5 linked regions of the Rattus norvegicus genome follow. The protein of the gene in region 4 interacts with the protein of the main gene of each other region in a pairwise test. Links are inferred from orthologs where the notes say so. Each region holds a gene or a part of one and is shown on either strand. Other genes may lie near its edges.

Region 1 (4,372 bases), on a different chromosome or scaffold from region 4:
CATTCTGATCAACCAGGCCAAGGCCTTTGCCAAGGAAGGAGCTTTGGGGAATGGGACCCGTCGTTTGCTGCAGACCCCCAAGAAATGGCTAAAACAATTCTACCACCTGAATCAGCCCCAAATGCTCTAAAGAAGGAACCATAATGGCCGCACTCGCTCTCAACACAGGGAAAGGTGGGCATCATAATCCCTCGTCGTGGACTAAGGTGAAGGGTCAGGGGTCCAGCAGATCTAGAAAAATGAGCTCCTCGCTCATGCAGGAGGACAACGCGAAAGGAGCCCCAAGCACCGCACGCCGCGGTTCACACATCCCAGTGTCTATATACTCTCACCCCACCCCGTCAATCGTTCCCACCAGCCACCAGTTACCTGTCGCACCTCACCTGCCCGGGCTCGCAATGCAGAATCTGTACCTAGACCGGACCCAGAGGCTCTGTCACTGAGAGAGGGGAAGTCTTCAGCTGCAGGAGGCGGGTCAGCCCTAGCTAGTCATGTGACCTCAAGCCCCACCCCGCTTCCCCTCCCCAGGCACGCTGCGTCTCGCAGGCTTGAACCTTTGCGGATTGCTTGGATGTGAATGGTTCCGCGATTTAGGAAAAGCGTTATTTTCTTTTTCACAATGACTGGGTTATATAAACTACAGTACAGAAAACGAGGATGGCAAGGGTTAAAGTGCATTGCTAAGGAAGTGACGCTGAGTCACGCTCTAGGGACCGGAAATGGCGATGAGTCCCGCCTCTAAAGGCCCCAGTAAAATCCTGGCTGGAAGGCATAAGCCTATCACGTGATTTCAAAAAAAAAAAAAACCTGTGAGGTTTGCCTGCTGGAGGATGGCCAAATTATCCAGACCCATCGTTACCTTTTGAATTTAAAACACATTTACTGCAAGCCTCCACAGGCTTTCTTACATTGAGAAGAATCCATTTTGTAAAACCCTATTAGGGGACAAGAGGATTTGAAGGTCACTGGAGGTCTAGAAAGTGGGTGGGGGCGGGACAGGCTGATCTTGTTGGTTTGAAAGAGAGGGAAGGGTGGAAAAATCCGGATTTTACCGCCGGAGCCTACCAAGCAAGCTCCACTGGAGTGTCGCAAAGGGTGGGTGGAGCTAGCCGACCGTAGGCCCAGCCCTGGAGAAAGAGGAGGGGGTGGAGTCCTGGCGGCGCCGAGCACTGCGGTTGCGCGCGACGCGGCGGACGCGCCGGCGCGCTGAGGGGGCGGGGTGAAAGGTCACAGCGCGGCGGCGGGTCTGGCTGGCGGCAGCTGCGGGCGGGAGCTGAGTGTCCGGAGTGCACGTGTGGAGAAGCGACGGCGGCAGCAGCGCGGCGGCGGCAGATCTCCCCGCGTCTTCTAGAGCTTCAGGGCCTGGCTTGGCTTTCGAGGCCTCGTCGTCCCCTCAGCCAAGAGGCCGGCGTGTGAGGTTGAGTGGCCTGAGCTTAGGGCGCGGAGAGCTCGGGGCGACGAGGACGACGGCGTTGGTGGCGGCTGTAACGACGGCCTCAGCAGACGGAGAAGATGAAAGGGTGAGGAAGGGCAGCGGGCGAGGGTCCGGCGGGCACCGGAGAGGGGCGTGGGTCGGTGGACTTGGGGAGCGCTGCGGGGAAGAGACTCGCGCGAAGACCTGGCGGAGGGACATTGCGAGGCTTCCCCGGTCCCTTGGCTCCCGGAGGGGGGCGGAGGCTAGGCCGGCTGTTGGCGGGCTGAAGGGCCGGCGGAGGCAAGGGCGCGAGGCCACGATTTCAACCCGGAGAACGAGTGTGCACCGAATGAGACCCCGGGGAGAAGGTGTTAGGACGCGCCCGGGGCCTCTTCCCGGGAGCGCACGACTGAGCCGCCTCAGGTGCTCATCCAAATCCGGGATCCATGCTGTGGCCGCGGGCTTTGACACGTTGCGGTTTTCTTCATACTTGTGGGCCGTGCAGAACCTTCTGGAGGGAAAAGGAATTGGAATAAAGAGCACGGAGGATGAGTGCTAGGAGCTAGTGACTCAACGGACTTGGGTTGGGTCAGAGCGAGTGGAGGAGGGAGGGAGGGGGAATGAACTCCAGCGGTGTAGACTTTGGGGTGCCAAAATGTTTAAGGAAGTATCATGGATCAGTAGGTGGAGCTATTGCTTCAGTGGTGTGTGTTGCCCCCCAGTGCAAGGAGGAGCTGCTTTTTTACTCTTCGTTAGCAAAGTTGAGGTTTAATCTTTCAAATCTTCGGTAACGCTAGAAGTTATTTTGGCTTAACTGTTCCCGTTTGGTTGAAAGTATTTCCTTTCCACTGATTTATATTACTGTTCAGTATTTAGCACCGCCAGTTTTGGAGGTTGCCTTTACAATCTTTAGAGGAAAAAGAAAGCTTAAACTTTTTGAGATAGCGTAAGGGTTTTTCTAAGTCAGCTGAAAATTATTACTAATATTTTCAGTTAAATTGTTCAGCATCGTTTTTTGGAGAGCGAAATAAATCGTCTCATTCTCTGTAAAATGAGGGACCTCATATCTGAAATGATTCTGAGAAAGTTTTGACTTTAAGTCTGCATGTAAGACATTTTTTCTAAACTCTGGTTTGCTTTAAGTTATTAATTTCAGTGGTTTTTTTGTTTTTTTGTTTTTTGTTTTTTGGGTGGTGGTGGGGGAATGTTTGCTCCATCTGAGCCACTATTCGGGATGCTTTTAGAAATTTTTAGAAATATGACTCAGTTATCTTTCGGAATTTTATTTTACTAGTAGAGTACCACTTTGATACTCTTATTTTTTTTCTACTCATTGCTACACATTTAGAACATACTTGACATGTTCCGTTATAGTAAAAACAATGAAGATAACAAGACTAAGAAATTATGCTGGAAGTTTAGGTTAAAAAATCTTGGGTCTAGTTCAGTTTCGTTAGGTATAGGATACTTGACAATAGAAATGATGCCACACAGTGGTGGTGTTGGCTGTTTATTTGAACTTTTATTTAGGGTACTATTGAAGCAGTTCTACCTTATTAACTAACTGGAGTTCTTGGAATTAAAGGAAAGTACTCAGTGCTCTGCAAGTACCCTGCCACTGAGCTATATCCTCAGCACTTTATTTTGAGGTAGAGTCTCACTAAGTTACTCAGGCTGACACTGAGCTTGGCAACAATCTTCTTGCCTCCCTTAACCTTTTGAGTTGCTGGTATTATGAGCTTGAACCACCTTTACCAGCTGGTTCTTTTTATTTGAGTAGATATTTAAGTATATATAACATAATGGAGGCCTAGAAATGCATTAGTGGGCAGATTTGGAGAAAACTCGGAATTGTTGAATCCATATTTTAGACCAATAATTAGGCTCAAAATTAAGACTCCTTAAGTCAGTTTTTTTTATTTCCCAGGATTGAGGGCTTAGAATTGGGTTCTGGACTAAACATTTCAAGATGATTTTACAGGTATAGATTTTTTATTTTTATTTTTTCCTAACTCCCAATAAGCATGGGACTATTAATTTTTCTTCCTTTTAAGAAATGAAATCGGGGTATAGGGCAGTATTGGTTTTGTTTGTTTGTTTGTTTTTTAAGATGTTGATGTCCTTGAGATACAGAACCTGTATAACTGAATACTATGTGTTCAGTCTGCTGACTTTATTGGAAAGGCTCTATTCCATGGATTTTGTTTGAAATTTTATTTGCTAAATTTCTATTGTATATTGAGCTTACCAAACAGTTTTATAGAGGACTCTGAAGTTTTGAAAATTGAACACACCCCCACCACCAATACACACTGATTTAATCTATGATTTAAATTTTGAGCATTGAAACTTTTTAAGCTTACTTTTAAAAATACTTTACTTCGTATTTCTTACTTTAGTATTCTTATTAGTAACAGCAGTAGGTTATCATGTTGTAAATCATCCTTATCTCCATAATAGATAAATTTGCAATTAATAATTACTATATATTTTTATATACATATGGAGAAAAATGAGAAGTAGTACATTATTAGACTATTTGCTCTTTCAAATGAGGCTTCTTGTTTTTATGAACCAAGGACATCATGGCTTGAATTTGTGGTTGAGAAGATGATATTCAGTATGCCATAGACACAATGACTGGCAGTGTAATTAGTTGTCAAGGGTTATAGAAAATAAAATTAAATCCACTTACCTTTCAACTATTAATAAAGAGGTGTAAATTAGTTCTAATAAAAATGCCTTTAAATAAGATATGAATGCTAAGTGGACCAAAGTAAAGCTAAAAAGGTAGGTAGGAATAATATAAACACTGAGCAAAATGGTTACCTATTGAAACTTGGCCAAATGTGGAACATAAGATTCTATAGTTATAAGTGAAGCTTTGTCGACAAATACAAAATAGTGGTTATACCATTATTATATATGTTGGGGTCAGGCCCAGAAAGTCTTCTGTCT
Region 2 (4,681 bases), on a different chromosome or scaffold from region 4:
TAGAAGCTCCTCCACTGGCCAGGGCTGTGCATCTCCTTGGACGTCTTGAGCTCCACGTAGCAGGAGGGAGGCTGGGTGCAAGGGGCCTGGGGGTTTAGGCAGTCTACCTCCCCGGAGAATAGGAGAGGGTGGTTCCCCAGGCGGCTGCGTAGCACAGAGCAGAAGGCCACGTTGGTGTTAACTTCCCCAGAAGGGTCTGGGGAGCCTCCAGGTTTGTCTGCACAAGAAGAGAAGCCAGCAGCAGGGGAAGGGGCTCTCGACCTCTGCGGAAGGGGAGACGGGCCGCACGGCAGCGACAACTCTCACCTGCACACATGTACTGCTCAAACTTGTAGCCCATGTACATGAGCTCCCGGAGGAGGGGGGGCCTTGCAAGCCTCTGGGCCCGAGCAGCCGGGGTCTCCACCTCACTTAGATACAGTGTCCCTTGGAACCGGGAGGCTGCCAGCTGCCAGCCCTCTTGCCTCTCATACGGTGTGGTCAGCAATTTTGTCAGGTGCCCTCGCCATGTCACTGTGGCCCCTGCCAGCCAGCCTGGACCCCTGGGAGGGAAGAATTCGGGGTTTACGGTCGAACTCGAGCTTTAGCTCTGTTGACTCAAAACTCCCCACTAAAGACCCTTTGGCTCTCCCAACTTCAGAAAAGAAAAACGGGTCACCAGGTCAGCTTCTGCGCTGCGCTGCGCTTTGCTCACCCCTCCAGCTGGTTTCGGTGTTCCAGGACCCAGCGCAGCAAATGGTCCAACCTCTCTCGGACCTCCTCATCCCGGGGCTGGTATCGGTCAGGGTATCCATCTCTGAGGTCAAAGTCTGGGCCTGGGCCGTTGATGGGTGGTGGGCTGTAGTAGCGGAGGGCTCGGGCATCTCCGTGGTACTGGCGCTGTGCGTCCAGGGAGAAGCAGCCCAGTTCGGAAGGGCGCCGGTAGAAAGGGAAGGGTCCGGAGTACAGAGAAGGCTGTGTGCGCAGTGAGGGTAGCGACCGCGGTAATTTGTTCCAAGTCTTTGCCACCTCTGTCTTCTCAGCTTTTCTCTTGGTCCCTCTGGGCTCCATGGGGTCCTGAGAGGAAGCGTTTCCGTTTTAGAGCCGACCAGGACCGAGCGAGCTTCCAGGTCCGGGGTGTGAGTGTAGCAACTCCCCCTTCCCAGTCAGGAGCCGGGTGTCTCGTTCCCACCCACAGACACCCAAACGCGGTGAGGTCGAGGAGTTTGGGGTTTGGAGCAAAGACCAGGTTACCTCAAAGCTCCACCTCCCCGAGGCTATAGCATCAGGGCAGCACCTCAGAAGCCGGACAGGGATGCAAACGTAGAGTTGTTGCTCCTGATGACGCAACCATCCGCCCTCAGGGCCGGAGGGGGCGAGGTCGGTCCGCACCTGAGCAGGATCCCAGGCGCCGACTCGCGCCGCCGCGCGCCCCAGAGAGCTCCGGACCGCAGCCAATCAGCAGCGGCCCGGGCGCCGGAAGTGAGGCTGTCTTCGTCATCAAACTCAGACGACCAGCCAGAGGCCCCGTCGTCATCATTCTGCACCGGAAGACGCTATGTTCAGGAGTTCTTTCCCGGAACCCTGAAATTCGGGCTATGAATCGTAAGAGACGTCTCCTGGCGTCTGAGGTTTTTGGAGTGAAGCGACGGCGGGTGCCGGGGCCCGTGAGAGCGGATCCTCTAAGGGCGGAAGCAGGTAACCATGGCAACCCGGGCGTGGCGGGCCATAGGGTACCCACCCTTAGAGGAGGGGGAGGAGGAAAAGGTCCTGGGGTGAGTAACCATGACAACCCAGGCGTGGGGCTCGGGCGTCAGATTCTCTGAGTGCTCTCCACCCGGACCTGACCCCGCGCTCGCTCCCCGACAGGTTCGGCACGCGAGGCCATCGAAGAGCTCGTGCAGCTGTTCCCACGGGGGCTGTTCGAGGACGCGCTGCCGCCCATCGCGCTGAGGACTCAAGTGTACAGTCTGGTGCCGGACAGGACGGTGGCCGACCTGCAGCTGGTGAGGAGCGCCCTGGAGACCTTCGGTGTCTCTTCATCTCCCCAACCCTCAGCCTCAAGGGCACTCGCCAAGTCCCTGTCACTCAGACCCTCAGTGGAGCCGCCAGCCCATCAGCAGGCATTAGACCAAAGCAGATGCAGAGCAAATCCCAGGGCTTTGTTCGGAACTGCAGGCAGATGTCACATCCCACAGGCTTTCGTCTGACATGTTATGGCTGTTAGAGAAGCAAAGGTGTGCGGAAGGTCATCGGTGAAAGAGCTTGAGGGAGAGAGATGAGTCTAGTGTCAACTCCCAGATTTTCCTAACGGTCGGTTAGTGATTAGTGGATTGAATAGAGGAGCAAGGCACCGAGTAACCACTTGCCTGATGCGCACACTGAGTGGCGGGTAATAGACGGACGAGACAGTGGGCTCTGACGCTGCAGATCATTCTAGGCCCTGTGGTACACAAGGGGAAGGCATAAGGGGCTAAATGAGATCCTTGGGGAGACTAGAGGAGTGTTGTAACCTTGTGACCAAGTTTAGAGGGTGATTGAAAGCCAGGGCCGTGGTGTACGTTGTACAGTGTTTAATATCTGTGAAGGAGTGCCTCACAGGATCCTAGGCAATGAGGCCTAAGGATCACATCCACCTTCCAGTCAAATCCACTGGGCAGATTTCAGTCTCTGTTTCACAGGAACTCTCCGACCACTGCCTGAGTGAAAGGTTGTAACACTGTGAATGCCTCTCCCTGCTCCTTTTAACTCTGGCAGTTCCTTCTCAGCGTCCATCTTGCTTATATTGTTATGTTGTTTCTGACCCCAGGGCAAAGACTGCAGACTCAACCCAATTATAATTAAAATGTTTATTGATTACTGAGAGCAGGACAACAGTCTCTGAGCCATACAGAACAGAGTTGGAAGCTGAAGTAGGTATAACCCTGAAGGGGCGTCGTATTGCGTATTTATTTAAGGGATGAAACCGTGAAGAGAGGGGGAGCATCGTGGGCTGTAGCATCGTGTAATCATATTTTGACAGAAGGAATTGAGCAAGGGAATTCTCGTCAGTCAGGATAGGAGTTGGTCCCGGGGCCTGGGAACATGATCTTAGTTTGACCCTGCCAGCAAGATGAAGAAGTTGTCTCTGAGATGTCTGGACTCAGACAGCCGTTTACAACAGAAGCCGGCCAACTATTATGAAATCCCCAACTCTCCTAGGGCCCGGGACCTTGGATTTACTTTATCTCTATGATTAACTGGGGCCTGCAAATGAAGTGGTAGTACTCAGAGTTAAGTTTCTTTGGCACGTTCCCAACAATATATGCGTATTTTCACCAGGAACAGCTTGATTTTATGATTCCTTTTTACCTTGACAGTGAGATCATACTGCTTGCCTTACAGTCTGTCCATGTCCCTATAAGAAAATGCCAGAGGCTGTTTAGTCTACATCAGAAAGAACAGAGTTCATTTCTTTTTTTTTTTTTTTCTTTTTTCTTTTTTGTCGGAGCTGGGGACCGAACCCAGGGCCTTGCGCTTGCTAGACAAGCCCGAGTTCATTTCTTAAAGCTGTAGAAGCTGGGAACCTAAGACCAAAGCCTCAGCTGGCTCAGCATCTGGTGAGGGTTGGCTCTGACTTGTTACTGTGTTCTCAACGGCAGAAGAGACGGAGGACTGGCCATAAGGGCATTGGTCCCATGTGGCTCTCAAGGCACAGTGACCTGCTGCTTTGTGCTGTCACTTTGTAGTCGATGGTGGTGCCGGGCATCGAACCCAGAGCCCTATGCATGTTGGGCAAGCGAGGCTTCCTGCCGTGTCGTGCATCACTTACCTGGTTCCAGCATCCGGAGAACACACTACGACACCATTCGCTTCTTGTTGAGTTAGCTGGGTGTTTGAAAGATCATTCCAAGTTGTCTGTAACAATAGTTACCCATTTCTCTAGGTTCCTATGTTAGGAGCCTGTTCCAATTTACTCATCCCTGTGAGACAAACGTATTTTTGATGGCTTATGAATTCACCTTAGCTTCCTAATTGCATTTTCATCAGTGGTCAGTTAGAAGCGCCCTCACACCTCCTCTGTGCTCCTTGGGTGGGGGTTGGTAAGAACTGTGGATCACACTTCCCAGTCTCCTGTCACTGAGCTCTGACTGAATTTCCAGCTCACATGACACGGTGGCCAGAGAATACACAAGATGACCCCACACATTTGAAATCGATAAAAGGCTTGTTTTGCATTATGTGGCCTATTTTGCTAAACGTTATATACGTGTACGTGAAAATACGTTATTTCCTTACTGATCTCTCTGTAGCCGAGGCTGTAATTGAATCAATCAATCTCTCTCTTTCTCTCTCTCTCTCTCCCTCTCTCTCTCTGCTGATTATTTAGTCCCTTGTTCTGTGAATTTATGAGAATTGGATTTATATACTCCTGAGGTGGGGGTATTTTATTTATTTATTTTGTTTGTTGTTTCCTGAAACTCACTCCATAGACCAGGCTGGCCTCGAACTCACAGAGATCCACCCGAGTCCACCTCCCAAGTGCTGAGATGAAAGGCATGCGCCATCGCTTTCAGCTCACTTTTTGGATTTTTATTGGCTATTCGTGTGTGTGTGTGTGTGTGTGTGTGTGTGTGTGTGTGTGTGTGTGTGTGTGTGTAAGTGTGTAAGAAGACTGCTAGAGGGAGGAGGGAGTCTGTTCTTTCTGTGGAAAGGGTAGGGT
Region 3 (4,568 bases), on a different chromosome or scaffold from region 4:
CCAATCGTGGCACCTTCACCAAAAGCCCTACCAGCCGGGTATGGGTCAGCACCAGGAGCAGCCTCTTGGACTCCTGCCTCCAGGGTACCAAAGTCTGAGTCCGGGTCCTGTCTCTTGAGGCCTGGAGATGGCTTCCTCTTTCCTTCATTGGCCCTCTGTGGCTGGGGGAGGACCCCGACCACCCCACTGGGGCTTGGCATGGCCGTGGCCTAGCCAAGCCTGGCTGGCCACTGTGTCTGGGCCATTTGAGTCTGACACTGTATGGAATTGTGGAGACAGTGTCTCGCTCTGCAGTTTAAGTTGGCCTGAAATATAGGGGTTAATCATATTGGCCCAGGGAACTCTTCTTCTTTCATATATTTTATGTTTTATTTTTTATTATTTTTGAGACAGGGCTCAGCCTTGAACTTACAGAGGTCTGCCTGCCTCTGCCTCCCAAGGGCTGAGATTAAAGGCATGTGCTACCACAGCAGCATATTTATTTATTATATATAATATATGTCATATACATTTACATATACTTATATGTGTATTTAATTTTTTGGACAGGTCTCACTCAGTAAACTGGGCCACAGGTTAATGCTGAAGTCCAACAATCCTCCTGCCTCAGTTTCCCAAGTGCTGGGCAGAAGCTAGGACCTAGGGAACTCTTTATTTATGAGACAGGCTCTCTGTGTAGCCCTGGTTGTCCCAGAACTTTCTATGTAGACCAGGCTGGTCTCAAATCAGAGATTTGCCTGCCTCTGCCTCCAGTGCTGGGATTAAAGGCATGGGCCACCACCACCTGCTGTGCCCCTCTTTAACTTCTTGATGTTTTGAGATAAGGACTCTTGTAGCCCAGGCTGTATTCACTGTGTACATCAGGCTGGCTTCCACCTACCTCAACCTACCCAGTACCGGTAATAACTCTTGTAGCTCAACACAAACCACGTCTTACTTTTTGTTGTTTTGAGACAGGCTCTCTGGTAACACAGGCTGGCCTGGGACTCTTGATCCTCCTGCCTCCGCACCCCAGTCAGTGGGTTACAGACCTGGACCCCCATCCTACCTCTGAGGGACAGGTGTCACTCTGCTACCCAGTGTGCCCCCCAGTCATGCCAACCCTCCGACTCCAAAGAGGATGTAGCACGCTGTAGGCACTCCATAAATCCACCCTGAAGCCTGGGCGCCCAGGCTGTGAGTCCGTGGCCTGGGGGCTGGGGGTTTGGGGGACCATTGAGGCAGGCCTCGGGCCGGGGCTCCGGACCGTGGCGGGGGCGGGGCGCGCGGGGCCAAGGTCACGGGTGGGGCGTCCGGGCCTGCGCAGTGCCGGGCGCGGCAGGTGGAGCGGGAGCCCGGGCGGCACCGCGTCGCCATTACACAATAGCGCGGGCGGCGCGGGCGGGCGGCGGGCGGCGCAGGAGGCGGGACGCGGGGCCCCGGAGCTGTCGATCGGGGACAAAGCGCGGCCGCCCGGCGCCCCCCGAGCCGCCCGAGCCGGGGCGCAGCCCGCGCCCCCCGCGACTGACATGATGTTTCCGCAAAGCCGGCACTCGGTAAGGGGGACCCCGCGCACTGCACCCCAGAGCTCTTCCTGCACCCTCAGCTCAGCTCACTGCACCTCCAGCGCTCACCCTGCACCCCTTCTAGGTCGGATCCCTTCTGTCTCCCCGCCCAGGGCCTGTCCCAGAGGCTCCCTGTGCTCCCCCACCTCCTACAGGCCTGTGCCCCAGCCCTTGCACCCTACAACCCAGGCCCTACGCACCCCACCAGCCCAGCACTGCATCCTTAGCCCGGATCCCTGAACTTTGATCCCTGCCCTGAGTCCCCTCACCGCCTCCCCTCGCCGGCCCCCCCATCCCGACTCCAAGGTCTTCTCCCCACCCCCAACCCCTACTCCCGGGCTCCGGATCAGCCTGTCTTCAATCTTGGGCCCGCACCCCACTACAGCCGCATTCCGCCTGTCTCCCGGCCCTGGGGCTCAGACCCAGAGCTGCAGCACCCTAGGCACAAGTCCTTCATCCCCTTCACCCCAGGCGCGCATGTCCTCCAGCCCAAGACCTTGCATCCCCACCCTGTGCTCTGCACCCCACCAGGCCCAGCTCCTTAAGAGCTCCAGACTGGCCTGACACCAAGTCCAAGGCCCTGCACCCACCACCACCTCGGCCCTGCACTTCCTTCCACCTTAGATCTGCCCTGTCCCCAAGTCTGGTGCCCTCTACCCCCCAATCCAGTCCCCACACCCCCTGTCTCTCCCTCCAGCCCTGTCGGGCCTGGCGTCACCATCCGGGCCCAGCGCCACCTCCAGCCTGGCTCTGCGTCCCTCCTCTAGCTGCAGGCCCCGCACCCCAGCTGCCTTCCTCCTCCAGGCCCCATCCGGCACCCTCAGCACTAGGGTTGGGGGGACCCTGTGCCCGTATAAGGCCCAGTGCTCCCTTGTCCGGAGCCAGATATCCCCCATTCCCCTGCACCTCCTCCCCAGCACTAGGCTCTGTCCCCCTCACATCCATCCAAGCCCGGGCCCATCTGTCGCCTCCCACACCAGATCCCAGTGGCCATGCTCCCCACACCCTACCCCTAGCCTTGCTACCCAGAGAATCTTACAGCCCAACTCCTGACCCAGTGCCCTCAGATGCGGGCCCTGTAAACGCCCCCCCAAGCCCCTCCCCCATCAGCTCTCTCCCTAACTCCCAGGCCATGACTTCCCTGTGGCTTTGGCTGGGACCTGGGAGGAACCCCACAGGGCACTCCTTGTGGCAGGGCAGCTTTTGGGGGGGTCCACCCCTGAAGAGCACACCCCTGAGGAAACAGGTGTGATGGGGTACCCCCAGGAAATATAGGGTGGTAAGCTAGGTGCCTTTTCCATGCTGGCTTTGGAGGGAGGCCTGTTATCACCTTGCTTGACTTAGAGGGGCTTTCTGGGGAGTTCCTCCGGGGGGCAGCCACATGGGTGCTGCCCCTCACAAATGACCAGTGTGTAAAAGCATCACCACTGCCTAGAAGCCTCACAGTCCCTTCCTGGCTGCCAGGGCCTGTAAGCAACCCAGGAAGTGGGGCGTGGGTGGGGCAGGGCGCTGCTCACCCTCCTGCACTCCGCAGGGCTCCTCCCACCTCCCCCAGCAGCTCAAGTTCACCACCTCCGACTCCTGCGACCGCATCAAGGATGAGTTCCAGCTGCTACAAGCGCAGTACCACAGGTGAGCAGGGCCTGGGGACCCCACCTCTGTAGACTTGTCTGTGGCATCAAAGAAGGCGGGGTGGGGGGTGCCTCAGCCATCTCAGGGCCCAGGAGGTGGACCAAGAGTGTCAGCAGTTCAAGGTCATCCTCAACTACTTAGCCAGCCTGGGCTACATGAGACCATGTGTACAAAAACAAAACAAGCAGCCCCTAGTGTGGAGGAGGAAACCGAGGCACACAGCATTCGCGGTTTCAGAGGCCCAGTCCCCATGCATCCCTCTGTTTAGCACAGCCTGGACTGGGTGCCCAGAGAGGGTGAATAGTCCGCCCAGGTTCACACAGCCCCACCTTCTCCTTCTGTCCAGTTTTGGAGTGGGGAAGCTTGCAGGTGTCCCACAGACCCTCCAGCCTGGTCACTCCCACCACAAATACTTTTCTCATTTCTGACGGGTTCCTCATGTGTGAAACTGATCACCCCAAAGCCCAGAGGTGTTAGCAGTTTCCAGGAGTGCACAGCACAGAAGCAAGAAAGCTGCAAGCAGCCTGAAGCTGGGGAGTTGGGGTCCCAGCCACGGGTCTCCGTTTGACCCTAGGCTGGACCTGTTTTATAGGATCCAGTGGTGAGTGGGCATGGGGGTGCAGGCCCAACCTTCCAGCTCTCACACAGTCAGGCGAATGTTGTTCTGGGCTAGCCTGAGGTACAGAACAAACCTCTGTCTCAGAAAATGAACTAATAATAATGATGATAGTAATGATAAAATCTTTAAAAGACCCTTAGATTTCTCCAAGAAAAAGGTAAACCTCAGTGTTTGTGGAGTTTTCTATTTTAAAAAATTATTTTATTTAAGTTTTTGGTATTTATTTTGAGACAGGGTCTTATGTGGCCCAGGCTTTCCCTATATAGCCAAGGATGACCTTGAGCTGCTGACAGGACAGGACAGGCAAGGCCCAGGGGGTGCTAGGCCAGCCATCTACCCGCTGGGCGGCTCCCCCAGCATTTGCCATTTTAAAGAGGAATTTAGGGCACCATTTTGAAGAGGGATTTAGGCACCAGTGCAGGCTATGCCCGCATGGCTCTGGGACCACTCTTAGGGTGACTTCTGCCAGGACCTGCAGGGCAGACAGAGGCTGTGTGTCATCCCATAGGCAGATGCCATCTCTGAGCTGCATTGTGCTGCCCTCTGTGCACTGGGCCTGGGTTCGGGACTGGGGAGCGGACCTCGTGCACTCACGGTCGAGCCGCAATAGCCTTATTTATTGTGTTTGTGTGTGTGTGTGTGTGTGTGTGTGTGTGTGTGTGTGTGTGTGTGCGCGAGAGAGAGAGAGTATGAGAGAGAGAGGGAGGGAGAGGGGCCACAGTGTGACTCAGGGTCCACCACTCAGTCTTGCATCCCTGAGCGAGTGCGGCCTT
Region 4 (4,635 bases):
AAAACTTTCTCGTTTTATATTCTCTGCCAGTGGCCCCGATAGACTTTCTGCTGAAGGCAGTCTTCTGATTGGCCTGGTTGGCTCCCTCCCAAAGGTCCTTGTAAATTCAAGGTCAAAATCCGTGCTTGTTACCTCCACTGTCTCCAGCCACGAGCTCGACTGGGTAAGGGGCTCAGTGAGTGTGTGCTGCACATATGTGGAGATTTCACTGTGATAAACCAAGAGGATGGGGCGTGGGAGTGGGGGTCCTCCTGTCTCCTCTCTCCTGTCCTGGAATAGACTGCAAACAGCGCCACCCAAGTTCCTGGTTAGCTTCGGGATCCCATGCCGGCTGGCAGCCCGGTGCGCGGGGGTCACGGCTTGGAAGCCGGCGCGGAGAGGCTTGCAGTGAGCCGAGCTCCGGCCCGCGTCTGGGCCACGTGAAGCGTCACGCCCCGCGCTGCTGCAGGGCAGGCGCCGTCGCCGCGGTTGTGTAACTCTGCAGCCGGAGGGGAGGCGACCCGGACGCCTCTGCATCGGAGGGGGCAGAGGAGGGAGGGAACGCCGGGCACCGTGCCCGGTATCTTTCTGTGCTTGACTAGCCAGGGTGGGTGGGGGCAGTGAGGCACCCTGGAAGGCGGGAGGAGATGGGTGCGCGCCAGTCGGGTGCCAGGCCACCCGCAGGCTGCGCCCGGGAGCTGAGCTCCCGGGAGAGTTGGGGGAGGGGAGGGTCCGCACGGCTCACACGGTCCACGGTCAGGTGCGCTCGGCGTGCTCGGCGGCGGCCTCGGCTGCCCTAGCGCCTGGCCACCAGCCCGCTTCCCATGGGGTGACATCCGCCCCGCCCTCGGTCCCTCCCCAAGGCGGGCAATTCCTGGACACTGAGGCTGAGCGTTGGGGGGCTGGGAAGCCAGGACGGAAAGAAACCCCAGCCTCTGGGGAAGGCCAAGGGGGGCCGACAACTCCCTCCGCTGCGCACCGGTTCCTAGGAGCGGGCCAGGCGGGGGAGGAGGAAGAGGGCTGGGCTGGAGCGACCAAGGGGATATTCCTCTCCCGGCTTGAGTCAGACGCGGGCGGAATCCGTCCTCCCCCGTTCCCTCCCAGGAGACGGGAACTTACTTCATTTCCCTGGGGCAGGTTCGCCCACGTTACCAACTCTTCCCCCCGCCCCCCAGCTCCCCAGTTCCTTCCAGCTTCCGTGCCCCCCACCCAGCTGGGCAGGACTCTGGCTGCGCTGCCACCCCCTCTTTCGGGGAAAGGAGGCCGCAGCCGCAGACACCTGGGGCCCGAGGTTTGGGGCGGCGGGGAGGGGGGGCACTTTGCAGCCGCCAGAGCGTTGTCCAACACGTGAGACTCATGTGATGAAGCCGGGGGAGGGCGGGCAGGTCGCTCCTTCCCTCCCCGGCAGCGGCCAGACGTGCTTGGAGTCACAGGGTAGAACACGTAGCTTCTACCCACCCACTCGCTCCCATTTAACCCAGCCCGCAGCCTCTCCTTACTCCTCGGCTCGTCCCCTCCAGCAACCACCGCCCCCCCCCCCGCTCCGCCCTAAGCAACCCCCCCTTTCCCTCCCGCCTCTCCACCCGCCCCACTTCTCATTCACTTGGCTCGCACGGCGCAGACAGCGCAGCGAGCACACACCGCCAGTCTGTGTGCAGAGCGGGAGCCAGAAGCCGTGGGGGACACCCGGTCATGCACGCCCCCAACTGAAGCGACACCTCAAAGCCGCAGCTCCTGGCAGCCCAGCGCATTGCAAGAAGCTCAGGCTAGCTCATAGGAACATACCCCTTGAGACCCTCGGATCCTCCCTTCCAGGGCAGTCCTCTCTCAGACTCTCTGCTAAGTGCAGACAGGAGCGCACAGTGGCCCCTGCTCGCCGCATCATGGAGCGGATCCCCAGCGCGCAACCACCTCCTACCTGCCTGCCCAAAACGCCAGGGCTGGAGCACGGAGACCTGTCAGGGTAAGTGTGCGCTGTGATCCCTTCAAGTCTCCGCTCCTCACCGTGTCTTCCATACCACTCTCAACTTGGGGCATCTCTGGGCATATAGGGGGCTTCTTGCATCTGTAGGACTTCTGCAGCCAGTACGCACTTGGGAGTCACGGCTCTTTCTGGCCTTTCTCCCTGCAGGATGGATTTTGCCCACATGTACCAAGTGTACAAGTCCAGGCGGGGAATAAAACGGAGCGAGGACAGCAAGGTAGGTGCATCCCTGGGGACCCCGTTCCTTAGCCTCTCGCGTGCGCTGAGTTTCCAAGGAAAAGTTTGCTTGTTTGAAGGTTGGCTGGGGGTTTCGGGATGTGATGAGCTTATTGTCACAAGTGAGTGACTTGGGAAAGAAGGGGCAGAGAAGGTGATCCTCGGTGCGTCTCTGCGCCCTCGCAGAATTTTTTTCCCTCTGGTGCTGGGTGGGGAGGAAGGGAGGAAGCTTCGTGTTCCCTTTCTCAGGCACCCACTGCTTCCATTTATTCCTTGCAGGAAACTTACAAATTGCCGCACCGGTTGATTGAGAAAAAGAGACGTGACCGGATTAACGAGTGCATTGCCCAGCTGAAGGATCTCCTACCCGAACATCTCAAACTTACTGTAAGTGAGAACCTGGCTGCGCTCCAACCCAGTTCTTCTGCCCAGAGGGCGGGTGGGGGTCACCCGCCGCCTGCAGGCGTCAACGGGAACTGCAGGCTAGACGGGCGGATCAAAGCTCCTAGTAGTTCTGGTTTGGAGGGAACCCAGACCCAGACCCAGGACTTCCAGGCAGAGGCAGAACCAGAACCATCTGGGGCCTCTTTAAGTTGGCTCCAACACTAGCACAGCTTCCTTTTGGTATTTTTTTTTCTTTCTCACCACCTCGTAGTCTCCCTTAACTTAAAAGGAACAAACCGTGAGATTAAAAAATTATGCCCTTCTCCTTGTCCTCTTACCATCCACGAGAGGACCTACTTTATTTAATGTGTGCCTTTTCTTTTCATCATCATCTTTACTGGTAACCGAAAGCTTTCTGGATTTTCCTTCGGGAAAAGTGTTTGGAAAGGAAGACGAAAAGCCTGCATGACTGGAAGTCCTGAACGGGTGTTTGGGGGGGGGGGGGATGTGTAAAAAAAAAATTCAGCACACTGGGAAAGCCGTTTGGTTGCCAGACACAGTAGACATCCCTCCCTGAGTTGACACCACAGCAGGGAAATGTTATCTCCGGAGTCCCCTGAGTTAAGGTCAGGGCAGCTGCTGGAGAAATATATCTGTCAGCTCACTCCCGAGACTGTAACAGCTACCAAAATGCCTCCAAAGATAGGCAACACATGTTTGACTTTTTTTAAGCCTTTGATCGTTATATGGATATGTTAACACATCTGCAAACTTTAAATTTAGTGGGGCAGGAAAAGCTCTTCCTATCTCGTTGTCTACACCCAATTCTCATAACAAATAGTGTGTGTCAGAAGGGACTTCACTGACCTCACAGGTGACGGAAGCTCCCTTTTTTTTGTTTCCTCAGACTTTGGGTCACTTGGAGAAAGCAGTGGTTCTCGAGCTGACGCTGAAGCACGTGAAAGCATTGACAAACCTAATTGATCAGCAGCAGCAGAAAATCATGGCCCTGCAGAGCGGTTTACAAGCTGGTGAGTGCCTGGCCTGATTAGTGTCTCAGCACAGATCGAGCCCGGAGGGCTGGCTGTGGCTCCTGACTCTGAGCTACCATCTCCTTTGCACATTCACTGGGGGAGATGCTTTTCTGATTCTTTCCTAAAAGGTCATACTTTCCCATACGGAATGCTGCTGTGCACCACCTGGAATGAGTACTTATTAGCCCAGTGATGAAATGTTCCTGTGACATTTTGGCCCGAGAGTGTCTCGGTTCTGGGAGACTTCCCCATCCCCCTTTAAAATGCCAAGGCATCGATAATTTGCATTGTGGGTGTTTTTACAGTTGGTCTGCTGAGCCCTCATTCATGGGTGAGCAGAACACGGGTCTGCCCCTAGTGTTTTCCTGTCCCTTTGCTTCCTTGTCTTTGGATGTGGGATGCAGTCTTGGCAGGATGACAGCAGGCTTTTTTTTTTTTTTTTTTTTTTTTTCTTGCCTGCATTTCATTGTGGTTCCCTGAATAGCCACTAGGTATCTTGGCAAATTGCACAATCCAATGAAACCACTGGTTTCATCATTCATTTATCCTGAGTTTCAGAGAATCAGGGGCACCTTCTAACCTCCCCCTTCTCCCTTCTAGATCATACAGTACAGACCAGGGGGAATCCTAACACCTACCCCTCAGGCATTCTTCTGTTCCGTCCAAGGCTAGTACAAGAATCACAAACAAAAACCAAACCGAGCCAGCATGCCTGCCAGTTTTCCTACTAAAAATAGAAAGTTGATCAGGACTGATCTCTAGGGGAGTCAGAGCTACAGTATATGGGAAAGACTTACAAATAAAGAGCCTAGTTAGAATGCACAGGGGAAATGCACCTATTTGATTAATAGGTTAAGTCTTTGTGTGGTGCCGGAGTTACTGGTTTTAGGTATTGTTTTTTTGTTTTGTTTGTTTTTTTTTTGTTTTTTTGTTTGCTTTTTGGTTGTTGATCTGTTTTTTTGGCTTTCCTAAAGCTCTGAAGTAACCTGCCAGTCTCAGCCTCCCAGGTCGGTGGGATTACAGGTGTGAGCTATGACG
Region 5 (4,459 bases), on a different chromosome or scaffold from region 4:
CTCAGGGGCTCACACAGCCAGAGACAGATAGGCCAGACACTCATCTTGGAATTCTAAAGCCAAGCCCAGCTTCATTCCGCAAGAACAGGGCAGACACACCTGACTACCCTGGCTGCTCCAGCAGGCACCAAAAAAGCCCGCCGTCTCACTCCTGGAGACTGCCTGCCAAGAGGAGCACAGAGTGAACCTGAAGGGTTCCCACATACACCAGGCCTCCTAGAACACAAGCCTCATTCCCTTGGAACAAATATTGGGGAGAGGAAAGCTTGTTATTCCAATAGAGGATTAAGGAATGCCTCTATTCTCAGAGCAGATTTTCAGTCAGGATCATCCAGGCCCCACATGGATGTTTGTTTGTCTTTTAGATAAAGTCTCAGAGTTGCAAAGCTGGCCTAGAACTCGGTCTCCGGAGTGCTGGGATTACCAGTGTGTTTAAGCAAATATTGTCTTTTCTGTTTGTTACTAGCTCAATGCCCTGGTCCATACAGCGGGTTTACGTTTTAGCTACCTGACGTGTTAAATGAGAATGTTGACCTCCATCCATCTCCTGAGGCTGCCTGTGAGAAAACCAAGCTCCAGGACAGAGCCCACTGCCCTACGCCCTTCCCTCACCTCTCGGACCCACCCCTCACGAAATATTTCTTTGGCAAAAACTGCAAAAAGGGCGAGAGAAACGCTAATTTTCTGAGTCTCGTGAGAGGAAACCTATAGAATCCCCAGGCTGACCCTTGCCCTGGTAGCTCTGTCACGTTTTGTTTTTGTTTTTTTTTTTTTTTTTGCCCCTGCCTTTAAGGTTTCTGCATTGCAAAGTGCGTGAACTCAGCAGAGGCCTAGTTTGTGTCGAAATAAGAGACCCCCCGCAGAGGCCTACCTAAGAGGCTCTAAGCAAGTGGGTGGGAGGTAGTTGCGGACCTGGCTAGAGAGAGTTCGGGAAAAAGGGCGGGACTGAGAAGAGACGCATTGCGGATAAAGGTAGGGGGCTGGTGTGTTGGGCAAGGGGGTGGGACCAAAAGGCGCTGCGCATCTGTTGAAGGAGTGGATGCGTAAGGAGAAGGGGAGGAGGAACCTTTGTACACTGTCAACCTGGTTGGCGGTGGGATAGTGTGCTGGCAAAGAGGCGGGATCTCCTCCAAGTGCACATGCGCGACAAGGTCTCCAGGATGAAGCTTTTGTTGGGAAAGCAAGCGGGACTCTTATTTGGACAGTGATCTGTTGCGCATGCGCGGGGCTTCCTGAGGCGGTGGGTGGTATATTAGGCGAAGAGGCGGGGTCGCCCGAGCTGCCGCGCTGGCATTTTCTCCTGGACAAGGAGAGAGTGCGGGTGCAGAGAGCGGAGCAGAGCAGTCCCGATCCTCTGAGTCGTGAAGAAGGAAGCAACGAAGGGGGTTGGGGTTGGGGCCTGAGGCAAGGTGAGACCCGCCCCCGGACTGGGCATCTGCCCCCCTGGTGTGGCGCCCTTCCCCCATTCTTTTATCCCAATCCCCTTTCCCTGAATTCAGAAACCCCCTCCTCTGCCTTACCCCGGACTTACACCTCGCTCCCGACCCTTTCTAATTCGAACTCCCGTTCATTCCCTGAATCTTTATCCAATTCCTTCACTGAATCCTATTTCCCGACCTTGATCCGTTATACGATTCCTCTAGATTCAAAGCCTTAATTCAACTTTACAGACGCGAACCTCTCCCCGCTAACCGCCCCCCCCCCCGCCCCTGTAAACTACCGCATTCAGAGCGCTTATCTGATTCCAAACCGCGGATTTGAAGCTTTTACCTGTCAGCTTCTGGAAATTTTAGATTGTCTATCGGGACGACCATTTACTTTTCCCGCTTCAGTTAGGCCTGTTTCTCCCCGTACCCAGCACCTCACCCGCCCCCATAATCAAACCACACGCGCACACACAATTCGGTCCTACGTATTTTCCTTCTGTAGTATAATGCCTAGTTCCTCTCCCACACCCCCCTCAGGCTCTGCTCTTGCCAGAGAGACAAGAGCTATGGCTCAGAAACCGGACGGCGGTGCAGGCCTCCGCGGCTTCCAGGTGAGAACCCCGCTCCCAATTCCTCCATTTTCCTTGCTGACAGATTACGCCCACCCCTGGCCCCTCAGGTCGCGCAAATGGCAGGATCTGATTTTGCCCTTCTTCCGGCCTAGACTCCGCGGGCTCTCAAATTTCTAGCGTTTATCGAATAGGGGGGAGGGGCGGCCCTTTTCAGCCATCGGTCCCTGCTTAGAGAAAGGGGAGACCCTGTTAGTCAGGGCATTCTGCCCAGAGAATGCGGGTTGGGTAAGGAACCATTTTTTTTCCATAACCCTGACGCGTGTAGAGCAGTCTGTCGCCCCATCCCCCAACCTCTCGCCTCCACCCTCCCTTTCTCCACGCCGCGAGACTCCCCCTCCACCCTCCTCTGTTTATCCTCCTCAATTCCTCCGTCCTCAGGTCTTGAGCTCCCCACGGCAAGCCTCACGAGTCTGTCTCTAAACCCATTCGGGGTTCAGTGCTTGCACCACATTCCGCACCAGCCCCTGCTGCCTCCGACTGTCCCTCACCTTGCCCTGCCCCCTCTACCTTTAATTAAATTTTGTTCCCGCCCCGCCTCCCTTTGACCCGCCTCTGCCCCCATGTCTGAGTACTGTAACGCCTGTCTACAGTTCCCCTGCTGCGTTGCGCCGTGCCCCTCCTTCAGGTCTGGCTTGTAAGGCCCAGAGATTAAAATTTCCCCCTCCTGTATTTGCAGGCAGAGGCCTCTGTAGAAGACAGCGCCTTGCTTGTGCAGACCTTGATGGAAGCCATCCAGATCTCCGAGGCTCCGCCCACCAGCCAGGCCACAGCAGCTGCCAGTGGGCCGAATGCTAGTCCCCAGAGTTCACAGCCCCCAACTGCCAATGAGAAGGCTGATACTGAGGTTTCAGCAGCTGCTGCCAGGCCTAAGACAGGCTTTAAGGCCCAGAATACCACCACAAAGGGGCCAAATGATTACTCTCAGGCACGTAATGCCAAGGAGATGCCCAAGAATCAGCCTAAGGTGGCCTTTAAGTCACAGAATGCCACCTCTAAAGGTCCACATGCTGCCTCTGATTTTTCCCATGCAGCATCCACAGGCAAATCAGCAGCTAAAAAGTCTGAAATGGCCTTTAAGGGTCAGAATACCACTACTAAGGCTGGCCCCAGTGCCACCTACAATTTCACTCAGTCTCCCAGTGCCAATGAGATGACCAACAACCAGCCTAAGACAGCTAAGGCTTGGAATGACACCACTAAGATCCCTGGAGCTGATGCCCAGACCCAGAATGTAAACCAGGCCAAAATGGCTGACGTAGGGACCAGTGCAGGTATCTCTGAAACTGACGGTGCAGCAGCCCAGACCTCAGCAGATGGCTCCCAGGCTCAGAATGTGGAGTCCCGGACTATAATTCGGGGCAAGAGGACCCGCAAGGTGAGATCCCTGCTGGCTTCCCTTTGCTTTGAGGTCTCTCCTTTCTTTGAATTTCCTTTGCTCCAAACAAAATAAAGGGCACATATATATCTCTATTTTGGCAAAGTTGTAGGGGGAGCTGAAATAAATATTTATTCCTGACCCCCGGTTGTCCACAGATTAATGATGAGTTGATACAAGGACACAGGCAGTATGTGTGCAGACCGTCTTACATTTGACAGTAAACACCATGTCTTAAGCTAGGCAGGCTCACCCAGAATTATCATTAGATTTTGAAGATCCACCTCACAAGCAAGAGAGACCACAGTCAGGGAGAAATGAGTTCAGGGTGAAACCAAGCAGTGCACAGGAAAGGGAGAAACCCCGGGCTCCACTTTGTGTTTTTCTTTCTCTGGTTTGGAGATGAAATGCTTTCCTGAAAGACAGTGAGGAACCAAGTGGCTAATGGCTAGTGAGGTATAGGTGAGGATTCCTAGGGACTTCCTAGGATAGCTACTGGGGGTGCCAGGATTAATAGTGACCCTGAAATTTTCTTCTCTCTAATGATACAGATTAATAACTTGAATGTGGAAGAGAACAGCAATGGGGACCAAAGGCGTGCCTCGCTGGCTTCCGGGAACTGGAGGTCTGCTCCGGTTCCAGTAACCACTCAGAACCCACCTGGCGCACCCCCTAATGTGCTGTGGCAGACACCACTGGCTTGGCAGAACCCATCAGGCTGGCAAAACCAGACAGCCAGGCAGACCCCACCAGCACGTCAGAGTCCCCCAGCTAGGCAGACACCATCAGCTTGGCAGAACCCCGTTGCATGGCAGAATCCAGTGATCTGGCCTAACCCAGTGATCTGGCAGAATCCAGTGATCTGGCCAAACCCCATTGTCTGGCCTGGCCCAATTGTCTGGCCAAACCCAATGGCCTGGCAGAGTACACCTGGATGGCAGAGCCCACCCAGTTGGCAGGCTCCACCTAGTTGGCAGAGCCCTCAAGATTGGCAAGGCCCTCCAGATTGGCAGTTACCACCTGAC

What was found.
Region 1: the proteins of Bhlhe40 (region 4) and Naa50 interact in binary tests that used the Homo sapiens proteins (3 or more experiments, as listed by UniProt). The two-hybrid records come from large-scale screens. The link is inferred for Rattus norvegicus from reciprocal best matches to the Homo sapiens genes BHLHE40 and NAA50.
Region 2: the proteins of Bhlhe40 (region 4) and Stk19 interact in a two-hybrid assay, tested with the Homo sapiens proteins (2 studies listed by BioGRID). The two-hybrid records come from large-scale screens. The link is inferred for Rattus norvegicus from reciprocal best matches to the Homo sapiens genes BHLHE40 and WHR1.
Region 3: the proteins of Bhlhe40 (region 4) and Tle5 interact in binary tests that used the Homo sapiens proteins (3 or more experiments, as listed by UniProt). The two-hybrid records come from large-scale screens. The link is inferred for Rattus norvegicus from reciprocal best matches to the Homo sapiens genes BHLHE40 and TLE5.
Region 5: the proteins of Bhlhe40 (region 4) and Maged1 interact in binary tests that used the Homo sapiens proteins (3 or more experiments, as listed by UniProt). The two-hybrid records come from large-scale screens. The link is inferred for Rattus norvegicus from reciprocal best matches to the Homo sapiens genes BHLHE40 and MAGED1.

Annotation. Positions count from the first base shown.
Region 1 is NC_086029.1:70,063,604-70,067,975, reverse strand, and holds the start of Naa50 (N-alpha-acetyltransferase 50), read left to right. Parts: upstream 1-1,221; 5' UTR 1,222-1,512; coding exon 1,513-1,520; intron 1,521-4,372. UniProt on the Homo sapiens protein: N-alpha-acetyltransferase that acetylates the N-terminus of proteins that retain their initiating methionine. Has a broad substrate specificity: able to acetylate the initiator methionine of most peptides, except for those with a proline in second position.
Region 2 is NC_086038.1:3,998,686-4,003,366, forward strand, and holds the start of Stk19 (serine/threonine-protein kinase 19), read left to right. Parts: upstream 1-1,530; 5' UTR 1,531-1,577; coding exon 1,578-1,677; intron 1,678-1,848; coding exon 1,849-1,985; intron 1,986-4,681. Other genes in the region: Dxo (decapping and exoribonuclease protein), read right to left, coding at 1-217, 307-542, 695-1,050. UniProt on the Homo sapiens protein: DNA-binding protein which is required for efficient transcription-coupled nucleotide excision repair (TC-NER). Acts as part of a TC-NER complex which assembles and interacts with RNA polymerase II (RNAPII) when it stalls at DNA lesions.
Region 3 is NC_086025.1:8,797,772-8,802,339, reverse strand, and holds the start of Tle5 (TLE family member 5), read left to right. Parts: upstream 1-1,417; 5' UTR 1,418-1,508; coding exon 1,509-1,535; intron 1,536-2,673; coding exon of another isoform or gene 2,674-2,790; intron 2,791-3,078; coding exon 3,079-3,176; intron 3,177-3,699; coding exon of another isoform or gene 3,700-3,781; exon of another isoform or gene 3,782-4,568. UniProt on the Homo sapiens protein: Transcriptional corepressor. Acts as a dominant repressor towards other family members. Inhibits NF-kappa-B-regulated gene expression. May be required for the initiation and maintenance of the differentiated state.
Region 4 is NC_086022.1:143,172,907-143,177,541, forward strand, and holds the start of Bhlhe40 (class E basic helix-loop-helix protein 40), read left to right. Parts: upstream 1-1,543; 5' UTR 1,544-1,862; coding exon 1,863-1,942; intron 1,943-2,110; coding exon 2,111-2,180; intron 2,181-2,458; coding exon 2,459-2,566; intron 2,567-3,470; coding exon 3,471-3,594; intron 3,595-4,635. UniProt on the Homo sapiens protein: Transcriptional repressor involved in the regulation of the circadian rhythm by negatively regulating the activity of the clock genes and clock-controlled genes.
Region 5 is NC_086039.1:63,419,835-63,424,293, reverse strand, and holds the start of Maged1 (melanoma-associated antigen D1), read left to right. Parts: upstream 1-1,308; 5' UTR 1,309-1,409; intron 1,410-1,964; 5' UTR 1,965-1,993; coding exon 1,994-2,038; intron 2,039-2,735; coding exon 2,736-3,434; intron 3,435-3,985; coding exon 3,986-4,459. UniProt on the Homo sapiens protein: Involved in the apoptotic response after nerve growth factor (NGF) binding in neuronal cells. Inhibits cell cycle progression, and facilitates NGFR-mediated apoptosis. May act as a regulator of the function of DLX family members.